Linked DNA regions of Arabidopsis thaliana. The protein of the gene in region 1 interacts with the protein of each later gene in a pairwise test. Each region holds a gene or a part of one and is shown in the gene's direction. Other genes may lie near its edges. The genes, in order: ZFP2, AGL89 and AT3G11280.

Evidence for each region.
Region 2: the proteins of ZFP2 (region 1) and AGL89 interact in a two-hybrid assay, tested with the Arabidopsis thaliana proteins (one large-scale study listed by BioGRID).
Region 3: the proteins of ZFP2 (region 1) and AT3G11280 interact in a two-hybrid assay, tested with the Arabidopsis thaliana proteins (one large-scale study listed by BioGRID).

Annotation. Positions count from the first base shown.
Region 1 is NC_003076.8:23,294,037-23,297,360, forward strand, and holds ZFP2 (zinc finger protein 2), read left to right. Parts: upstream 1-1,615; 5' UTR 1,616-1,982; coding exon 1,983-2,435; 3' UTR 2,436-2,740; downstream 2,741-3,324. UniProt on the Arabidopsis thaliana protein: Probable transcription factor involved in the regulation of floral organ abscission. Participates in processes that directly or indirectly influence shedding of floral organs.
Region 2 is NC_003076.8:9,734,630-9,737,962, forward strand, and holds AGL89 (AGAMOUS-like 89), read left to right. Parts: upstream 1-1,895; 5' UTR 1,896-2,021; coding exon 2,022-2,693; downstream 2,694-3,333. Other genes in the region: CDC20.5 (cell division cycle 20.2, cofactor of APC complex-like protein), read right to left, coding at 267-1,619.
Region 3 is NC_003074.8:3,532,611-3,536,574, reverse strand, and holds AT3G11280 (Duplicated homeodomain-like superfamily protein), read left to right. Parts: upstream 1-1,580; 5' UTR 1,581-1,953; exon of another isoform or gene 1,954-2,179; 5' UTR 2,180-2,181; coding exon 2,182-2,585; intron 2,586-2,710; coding exon 2,711-3,098; 3' UTR 3,099-3,364; downstream 3,365-3,964. Other genes in the region: AT3G11290 (Myb/SANT-like DNA-binding domain protein), read left to right, coding at 1-143, 216-809.

The DNA of each region.
Region 1 (3,324 bases):
CAAGGTTTTCTTGTTTCACATTTCAAGTTTTGGTTTATAAATGTGATTTGTCACTAATTGAGTGGTACAAACAAACTTACATGGACTACTTTTTAACGAATATAGGAGTTTTTGAATATATATATATATATATATAAGTCCTCAGCTTCTCCGAATGATCCATTTTGTTGGAGTTGCATGCATATGGTTTTTTTTTTTTTTTTTTTTTTTTGAGCAAAAACACGCATATGATAATTTTAAAATTATACGACATTCAAACATCTTTTTTTTTTTTGTTGGTTAGTAGTTAGCTTTTTAAAAATTAATAATTCATCAATCAATTTCACTTGGCTGGTTAGCAAAGTACCATAAAATTTAAAATCGATAAAACACAAAAATTAATTAAAGAAAGCGAAACAAGCTTGAGAGATTAGTACAAAGACGTAACCTCTCTCAATCTTTAAACGACAAAAGTCTTAATGAAACATATGTACACATGACATTGATGTGTCTTCATTGATCGAAAGTAATTAAAAATAATTGAATTTATGTGAAACAATTCAAACTGAAATGACTTCTACGATTATAAACTCACGAAAAGCAAAACGTGATATATCCAAAGTGGGTTCACTGTGGCGCAGTCCACATCTTATCTGGTACGAACTCCTTGTGAACCGTTGGATTGAGAGATTGATCGTACGGTGGGCGATGATTTCAATTAATTGGAAGTTAACATCATCTTACATGTTTAAGCTGAGTCAAAAAGCTTTATCTCGTTAAGTGTTCATTGCCATTACTGGAAACTTGATAAGAGAGCTTTGATCTTAACTTAAGTCTTTCATTTTTTTCATAAATTATTTAATGAACCTAACAGCTGTTTTGATTGAAACTCTCTATTAACTTTTTGTGTAGACAATTATGCCCCATGTAAAAGAAAAAAAATTCTCTCTTGATTAGATATTTGGACAAATTTTATGAGTTTTTTTTTTGGACAAATTTTATGAGTTTGTCTTACCATTTATAAGTACTAAAGTCAGAATTAAAGAAATTTAACTCCGAATATATATTTATGAACGACGTACATTACTATTTAACAACTTTATTCAAATTACAAATATAGTGATTTTTTTTCCAACCATATATCATAACGATATTATCGATCTAAATTTGTGATATACAATTTTGTATCTTGTCAACAATATGCTTATGCATGCTTTAACACAACAACTGATCCACTAGTATAAAACTACTAGGTTACATGTCGTTCCTAAGTTACAATCGAACTAATTTATTTGAATGAACCTTTTATAATCAAATTACTTTAGATAAAACCATTTTAGTAGATGTATTTCATAGCATGACGACATTATCTTAAACTGACTTTTTATTTTATTTTATGATGTCTTTATAGCTCATAGTATTTTTGGTATTAATTTAAATTTGAAGAAAAATAGATTTCTTGGTTATGCTTAGAAAACTTTGGTATGAATACATATCGATAATTCATTACAATCATAGTAATTTACGCAAGTCTATGGTATAACTATACACTTCCAATTAGAAAAAGGCATACATTAACTACAATGCTCAAATTAAACCAGATATCTTATGTGTCCGGTCTTAACAACTACCACATGGGACATAATTCTTGAGGTGTTTCAACACTCTAAAACGAGACCATTGGATATAATAAAATGATGTATCGAGAAATATATAAAACTCGGAGGTAAATAATATTAGATGGACCGACAAAGGGTTCAAAGGGTGCCATTAATGGAGGCGACAACACTTGGATTCCCACTGATTCTTTCAGCTTCCATGTCTCATCTCTCTACTCTCTCTCCATACTTTACAGTTGAAGTTGCACCCAACATGAGTTTTGAGCAAACCTACGCACCTTTACACCTTAAATATAATGCCCCTCAAGCCCAAACTCTTCAAACACACTTCTCTCATCTCTCTAATCTCTCTTTCTCTCTCTATCTCTAAGAATATATAAAGGTATGGACTACCAGCCAAACACATCCCTACGTCTAAGCCTACCAAGTTACAAGAACCACCAACTAAACCTAGAACTTGTTCTCGAGCCTTCTTCCATGTCTTCTTCTTCATCTTCTTCCACGAACTCATCATCATGTTTGGAGCAGCCTAGGGTATTCTCATGTAACTATTGTCAAAGAAAGTTTTACAGCTCTCAAGCTCTTGGTGGTCATCAAAACGCTCATAAGCTTGAGAGAACCTTAGCCAAGAAGAGTCGAGAACTCTTTAGATCCTCAAACACTGTTGATTCTGATCAGCCTTACCCGTTCTCCGGTCGCTTTGAGCTTTACGGCCGTGGCTACCAAGGATTTCTCGAAAGTGGCGGCTCGAGGGACTTCTCCGCCCGCCGTGTGCCGGAGAGTGGTCTTGATCAGGATCAGGAGAAGAGTCACCTTGACTTATCCTTAAGGCTCTAAAAGAATCTTATATTTTGTTAGTCTATATATTATCATATCAATTGTTAATCTTAAAATTGATTGTTTTACTTATTAGTCATTTCCTATTATCTGAAAGTTTTCTTTGTAAGTTGTAACTATGGTCCTAAATTCAAATCCAAATTTGATTTTGGAAGATGGTACCTAATGCAGTAGTTAAATAAGTTAAAAAAATGAAGGATCTATAATTCTCTATATAGATGGTTATTTTAAGTATATATAGTATGAGCACATCATATTACAACTGCATTATAAAATGAATGAATGTCGCTTGTATATAATACATTATTGATCAATCTAACAATGTGCCCCGACAAGGAGACATGTGCTGTGAAACAATACTTAGTTAAGTAAATTTCTATTAATAACATTTATTCACATATGACATCAGTATAAATACATGTATATACGTATCTATCCGTATATTCACTAATAATTGTATATTCTTTTTGAGTTCATTACGTCATCTAGTCATAAGATTTTTCCCTTCAAATATTAGTATATTACTAGTGTTTTCTTCTCTCTATATACATTTACTATATGAGCATTTTCACCATGTTCGGACTTTATATCATGTAAATATTTTATTTTCTTCATGCTGAAACCATCACTTTTAAAAGAACAAGATATTTTACTATATGTTATCTACAAAAAATTAAAAAATTTGATATGAAATTGAAAGGCATAAGTCTAAATCAAAATGATATAACGAAATAACAGGGTAATTAAGATTTTGTTTTTCCTATTTAGTATTCGACTTTTTTTAAGAAATACATATATTGTGTACCTTCATGACTCTCAATTCTCATCAATGAATGACTTACCAAAAAAACAAATCTCATCAATGAAAGGTTTTATTGAGTACCAAAAA
Region 2 (3,333 bases), about 14 Mb from region 1:
AAGAGTTGTTCTTCCAAAAACAAATTAAGCTTCAGTAAGCATCAACATCACAGAGTTTTACATAAAAATCTCATAAAGAAACATATACTACTACTACCTACTCTAGTTCTGTTTGACTCAACAGTTTACATATATTTTTGGTTTTGTATTAAGTATTAACTATATAAAATTCATGAATAATGAATCAGGAAAAAAGATGAATACATTGCTTCTCTATACATTATTACCTATCAATGGTTTTCTCCTTGTTAGTCTTCACAGTAGATTCACCTAATATGATTCACATGAGCAAATGGATCCGTATATTTTTTTGAAGCAGCTTTCTTGGTGGTCTTAGGTGGTTCTCCAAAAACATTCCAAAGCCTGAGAGTCTCGTCACCGGCTGCAGAAGCCACGGTACAACCATCCGGACTCTGTGCCATAAAAAGAACTCTTGATGTATGACCATTGAGTTCAGCCATTTTCACCATAGATGGGTACTTCCAAAGTGTAAGCTGGTTCTGTGTAAACCCATGTGAGCTAAGCAACTCTCTTTCACTTTTGCTCCATAACAATGAACAAACTTGAGAGCCAGTTTCTACTGAATTCAAGCAAGCCCCAGTGTGTGTATTCCAGAACTTAATCTTCCCATCACCTACACCACCACCAGTTGCAAGCAAACTCGCTTGGAAAGGGCACCAAGCAAGAGCTCTCACTGCAGCTGTATGTTCCTCAAACCTATGCAGCCATTGCCTAGTTGGGTTTGAGGAAGCGACAGAACGATGATCCCAAATGTGTACTACATTGTCGTTACCACCACTTGCTAGTTTTTTTCCAGATTCTGACCACTTAAGACCACAAACCTCTTCTGTGTGACCCAAGTAAGTTTCAACAATAGATGATCTGATCCTCACATCATTGTTGACGATCTTTCCATCCATTCCTCCAGTTGTTAGAATGTGATTGTTCCATGCCAATGATCCTACTCTTGACTCGTGACCACCTCTCAGTGTTCTCACTTGACGATTGGAAACACAATCCCAAAGCTGGACTTCACTGTTGTCAAGACCAATTGCCAGATCAAGACCATCTTGCGTCCAGTTAATACTTGTGACAGGTCCCTCCTCTTCATCAATGGTCACAAGCTTATATGTAGAACCACTAGACGCATCCCACAAGTAAACAGTGTCTCCCAAAGCAATGGCTAAGACATTAGAACTGCCCCAATCCAACAAGTTAAGGTAGAAGTCATCCGCAATTCCAGGTGCATCCAAGACTCTCTCACTATTCTGAGGAATGTATCTACGAGGCTTTACGGATATAGGTTGTTGGTGAGGAGGATCAGAGTGATTACTAGAAAGCAGAGCTTTAGGTTTGTTTCTGAAAGCGAGAATCCGAGTGCGATTCTGATTCATAGCCTCAGCCAATTGCGTCATGTAGGCTTTTCTTGATGCTGAAGTTACCTCATCGACATTACGTTTTCTTCCTTGGGTAAGAGCGTAGTTAGCAAAGTCGAAATCCATGGCCGATCTATTCGGTATGAATCTGTCGAAGTTTTCCTTGGAAAGTTTCCGACGGAGAAAGTGTTCTACAAGTGGACACGAAGCTTGTGCCTTTAAATGTGAAGAAGTGTTCATCATAACTGTGATTAGAAGAAGACTAAACGAAATATGACAAAGAGACAAATAAAACCTGCGAAGAAGGAAACGTAAAGTAGATTCAAAGCAGAGAGACAGAGAGCGAATAGCGAATAGTGAAGGAAGATTGTGGCAATTTTAGGGTTTTTTGCTTTCTTTAATTCATTACATAGAAATTGTCAATTACGTACAACGGTTAGATATTAGTAAAATGGAAATCGGATCTAATTCAGATTTCCGTTAAAAATAAATAAAAGATTTTCATTACAGTTACTGAAGAAAAATGAAATAAATATGGAAATCGAATTTAACAAATTCAATATAAACCCTAATCCCAATTCTCTGACTTTATTTTCTCTTTGCAAGAAACTAAAGCTTCTTTCTTTCACCGTGTAAACAACAACAATGGATTCTTCAATGTCGACGAAGAAGAAAACCAAATTGTCTGTGAGAAACCAAACTTGTTTCAAGAAATCGTCTCTTTCTTCTTCTTCTACTGCAAAAAAGACCACGAATTTGTCTATGAGAGAAGAGACCATGTTTAAGAAAGCCTTGGAGCTTTCAACTCTGTGCGACATCGAAGTCTGTGTCATATATTATGGTCGTGACGGAGAACTCATCAAGACATGGCCGGAAGATCAATCCAAGGTTCGAGACATGGCTGAGAGGTTTAGCAAACTACACGAGAGAGAGCGACGCAAGAAAAGAACAAACCTTTCTCTGTTTCTACGTAAAAAGATCCTCGACGACAATAAATTGTCGGAGAAAGTCTTAGAGATGAAGGATTCGCTAGAAAGTGGTCTACGGGTATTACAAGATAAGCTTCTGTTACTCCAACCCGAGAACCAGACCGAGCTAGGTCAGAGCCGTGCGGTTTCTTCCACAACGAATCCATTGTCTTCTCCTGAGGATCATCATCATCAACAATGGACAGAACCATTGGTGACTGGTGTGTCAAACACAGAGCAAGACCTATCGACGTCACCATTGAGTAACCATCAGAGCAAATATTCAGTCTTTGTCTATAACCATGACAGCGGAAGCTTCTATCAAGTCCCTGACTCGATCTGTTTCTAGTTTAGATTATGAGTTTTAATTGTCTGATTAAGAGTTTGTGTTGAATTGTATGTTTTTCCTAAGTATTATCATTATGAATGCTATTCTCAATTCAATTTTTGTCTGAGTCAATTAGTTGGCTTTGTTGGATTTAGAAGCCAATGGTGAATTTCCAGATTACAATGCCTTGTGATTTTCCGATTAAAATTCTTCCAAGCCCTAACAATGGAGATTTGTTCAAGAGATCTCCTAACTCTCCTCTATGGTTTGTTACACACACATCAATACATGCATAACTTGTGCAATAACCTTCTATCTATTTATATACAACTCACTAGACTCTCAAGCTAGTGGTTAAACAATCTGTTTCTTCTTGCTCTGTTTTCACGTGCCTTCTCTGCTTCTCTTTGCTTATTCACGAGCCTCAACGAATCCGTTTGAGCTACCACACGTGCCTCCTAGCTTATCATAGGTCTTTTGATTCATGTTTGTACAAGCTTAAGTAAAGTGTATCCGGAGGATTGACATATACAATAGACATTGAATGTTAGATATCCATAACTTATGCAGATAATGCAGATAATACAACTAATTGAGCTTGCCTCTGTGAAATCTTTGGTTTAATTTGGTGAGTGGGTTCAATCGAGGAAATATTTTTTGA
Region 3 (3,964 bases), on another chromosome or scaffold:
GACCGCAACTCAAGAATCATTGGGATTGCACCAGGAAATCGTGGAAGATCTGGTGTCAAGTGATTGGTGCTCCTGTCATGAAATGGGATGCAACTTCTCGAACATTTGGTGCTACTGATGAAGACTGGAAAAACTACTTGAAGGTATAAACGCTACTCGACTTTTTATATTAGTTGATTAAGTTTGCAGCTTAACATTGGTTCTTTGATTAACAGGAGAATCATAGAGCAGCACCATTCAGAAGGAAACAACTTCCTCACGCGGATAAACTAGCAACCATCTTCAAAGGACTTATAGAACCAGGAAAAGCCTATTTCCGTTCTTATCGCAGGAGAGTGCTTGATCATCATTCCGAATCACCACAGCTACATGACCCAACTCCATTATCAACACTTTACACAAACGAGCCAGTCTCAGGTAGTGAAGGTGGAGCTGATGAAGATGACAATGATGACGATGATGAGCAGCCTACTCCGCAGCACCGGAGATTTAACAGTGTTGGTTTTGCAGAGTCTCGGTTACAAGATGTTGAAATTGTAACTCCGGGATGCCACAGGTTAAAAACTGAGCTGATGAAGGAGAGTCCAGTGAGTGCATCGGTTAGGCAGTACGAGTATACCATTGGGGAATGCATTGAGTGTTTGGACTCCATGGAAGAGGTTGAGCAAGGTAGTGATCTTTACTTGTTTGCGTTGGATTTGTTTGTGAAGAAAGAGTACAGAGAGATTTTCTTGCTGTTGAAGAACTCAAGTTTGAGAATGTCTTGGCTGCTTAGACTTCGATCTGGTGGCCTTACCATTGCTGCCTAAGATCGTCATATTCTCCCAAACTTCTTCTGCTTATGTCTTATTATGCTAAACACTCTTGATTTATCTTTTGAACAGTGTGAGATGTTATATTATTAGGTTCCTTGAAAGATTTTATGACAGTCGAAATATTATAAGAGTTACTGGTTAACTTTTGTCGCAAGAAATTACTCTTGTCTCTATTGCAGATGAGAAATAAACTTCAAAGCATTCGTATCCTATCGTCTATGACTCTATGTAGCCTTCTCTTCTTCAAAATTAACTTAAGTTAAAAAACCTTGTACAGTTTGATTAGTTGATACAACCGATATACTTTTATTTGATTTTCTCTGTTTGCAGAAAGTAATTTAAAACTTATGTGAGCATCACAAGTAAAATGGAGAGATAGTGGGATTTAATGAGCTTTAGCTATTGAATCTGTCACACTTTCTAAAAATATTTTCCACCGACGCATAGATACTAAAACCAATCATCACTTAATTCCAGGTAAGAACTTAATCCTAAACAACCTCCTTAAGGAGACAAAATTAAGATATAAAAAGAGATAAATCGCGCCAGGTAGGGGTCGAACCTACGACCTTCTGCTTAGGAAACAGACGCTCTATCCACTGAGCTACAGGCGCTTTTGATTGTAATTATCAAAACATTATATTTATAACAAAACCATACAGTATGTCTCCGTGTGGACCAGAAAAAAGGCGATAGAACAAATTTGTCGTATTCCAAAGAATTAAATAATAGAATCAAATAGATCAATCAACTTTTTTTTTCTTTCTGAGAAAAATGAACCGCAAGAATCCGAGTGGAGTGGTGCCATTCGCTGTTCTCCAATCCAAATACGCCAAATCTTCCCAAAAATAAAGAAACCTTTCCTTTTCTTTCTCTTCACTCTGTTCCCATATCTACAGTGACTCTTCTCTCTCTGTATATTACTCTTCCTTCACTATCTCTCTCTCTTTACTGGGTCTTCTTCAGCTTCTGAGTCTTCTCCTCTCTCTCTATCTCTCAAGTGGGCTTTGCTTTGCTGTTTTTGTCTTCCTTCGACGACTCACTTTTGCAGATTCTCATAAATTCTTCAAAGCTTTGAGTCTTTTTTCAGATTCGAGGGTCGGTTTTATATATGCTTCAAATCTCTTACCCAAATCAGGTTCTTGATTCCCTCAGTATACGATTCTTCATTTTTCCTTCCCTTTTGTTTTTCTTCTTCTTTGATTCCTACTATATTATCATTAAACCTTATATATAAAAGCTTCCATTATTTCCTTATATCACAAATCTATCTTTTAAGCTTCCTCCACACATAGAGCAAGAAAATGGACTTTTTTGAGCTGTGTTTGTAGTTGAAACTTATTCTTCCCTTTTTTTGTTTTTAGGTATGGAGACTCTGCATCCATTCTCTCACCTACCTATCTCTGACCACCGGTTCGTTGTTCAAGAGATGGTGAGCTTACACAGCTCGAGTAGCGGTAGCTGGACTAAAGAAGAGAACAAGATGTTCGAACGAGCTCTTGCGATATACGCTGAAGACTCGCCTGATCGCTGGTTTAAAGTTGCTTCCATGATCCCTGGAAAGACTGTTTTTGATGTTATGAAGCAATATAGTAAGCTTGAAGAAGACGTTTTCGATATTGAAGCAGGACGTGTTCCCATTCCTGGTTATCCTGCAGCTTCTTCTCCCTTGGGGTTTGACACGGACATGTGTCGTAAACGGCCTAGTGGAGCTAGAGGATCTGATCAAGATCGAAAGAAAGGAGTCCCTTGGACAGAGGAAGAACACAGGTTAAGACACTCTTTCATCTCTACAGAATTCTTTCCATATAAGTCACTCTTCCTAGGTTCCTTGCAACGCAAGTCATCCCCTTTTTTCTTAGGGTTTTCAATGCTCTGTTTCTTGTTCCTTGCAGGAGATTCTTGTTAGGCCTTCTCAAGTACGGTAAAGGAGATTGGAGAAACATATCGAGAAACTTCGTGGTGTCAAAGACGCCAACGCAAGTGGCGAGCCACGCCCAAAAGTATTACCAGAGACAGCTCTCCGGAGCCAAGGACAAACGCAGGCCAAGTATCCATGACATCACAACCGGCAATCTTCTCAATGCCAATCTCAACCGTTCCTTTTCCGATCATAGAGATATTCTCCCTGATTTAGGGTTTATCGATAAGGATGATACGGAGGAGGGAGTAATATTTATGGGTCAGAATCTCTCTTCAGAAAATCTGTTTTCTCCATCACCAACTTCATTCGAAGCTGCCATTAACTTCGCCGGAGAAAATGTCTTCAGTGCCGGAGCTTAAGGCAACATAGAATCCCCAAACTCAGCGTTCTTAAGAATCTGAGTTTTGAAACTGTAATTAGAGAAATATAAGCAAAACCAAGTTTATTATATATGTATTGTGTGGTTTAAAAGTAAGAACTTGTTTTTACTCTGTATTTTTGTGTTTCTGTCTACTAAATACCTGTTATGTTAAAAAAAATCTGTGTTTTCTTTTCGATTAAATTATAGACTTATAGTTGTGAAAAAGAGTACTTGTGCTTTATGACAAGTTGATAACCCTAACAATTTACCACAATATATCTATTTTATGGTGTTAAATGCAAATTATAAAGATATACTGTAATAAAGACTTAAAGAGATTAAAAAAAAAAAAAAGACTCAAAGAGATCAAACACCACACAAAAATGAGAAATTTGTGAAACATGTTTTGGGTTAGATTTATTTAAGAAGATGGCTATAGTATAGTTTTAAATATTGAGTAAAGTTTTGGTGGAAGGTATGAAGAATTGATTTGAGTATAAAATAGAGGCTGAGTCTGCTTTCCACTTCTGACCAAAGAACCTCATTCTTCTCATCTATTACACCAACCTCCTGACTCATATATATATTAACGTATTTAGAATTACGTATAATGGTGTCATTTGTATAAAAAACATATATGAATGAAATGTTTATTTTATTTTTTAATCATTTGGTGCCCCAATCTAAACACTGCTCACATTTGAATTATGCAACTTGAAATAACTTTGATAAATTTATATTGAAACAACTTTGAAATATTATTTATCACAGTTCATATGCAAAGTTGGACCAAAGGCTACACTTAATCAAGCAATAGTTTTATCATAGTTCATATTCAAAGAAATCGGATTTAATAGATTTCCA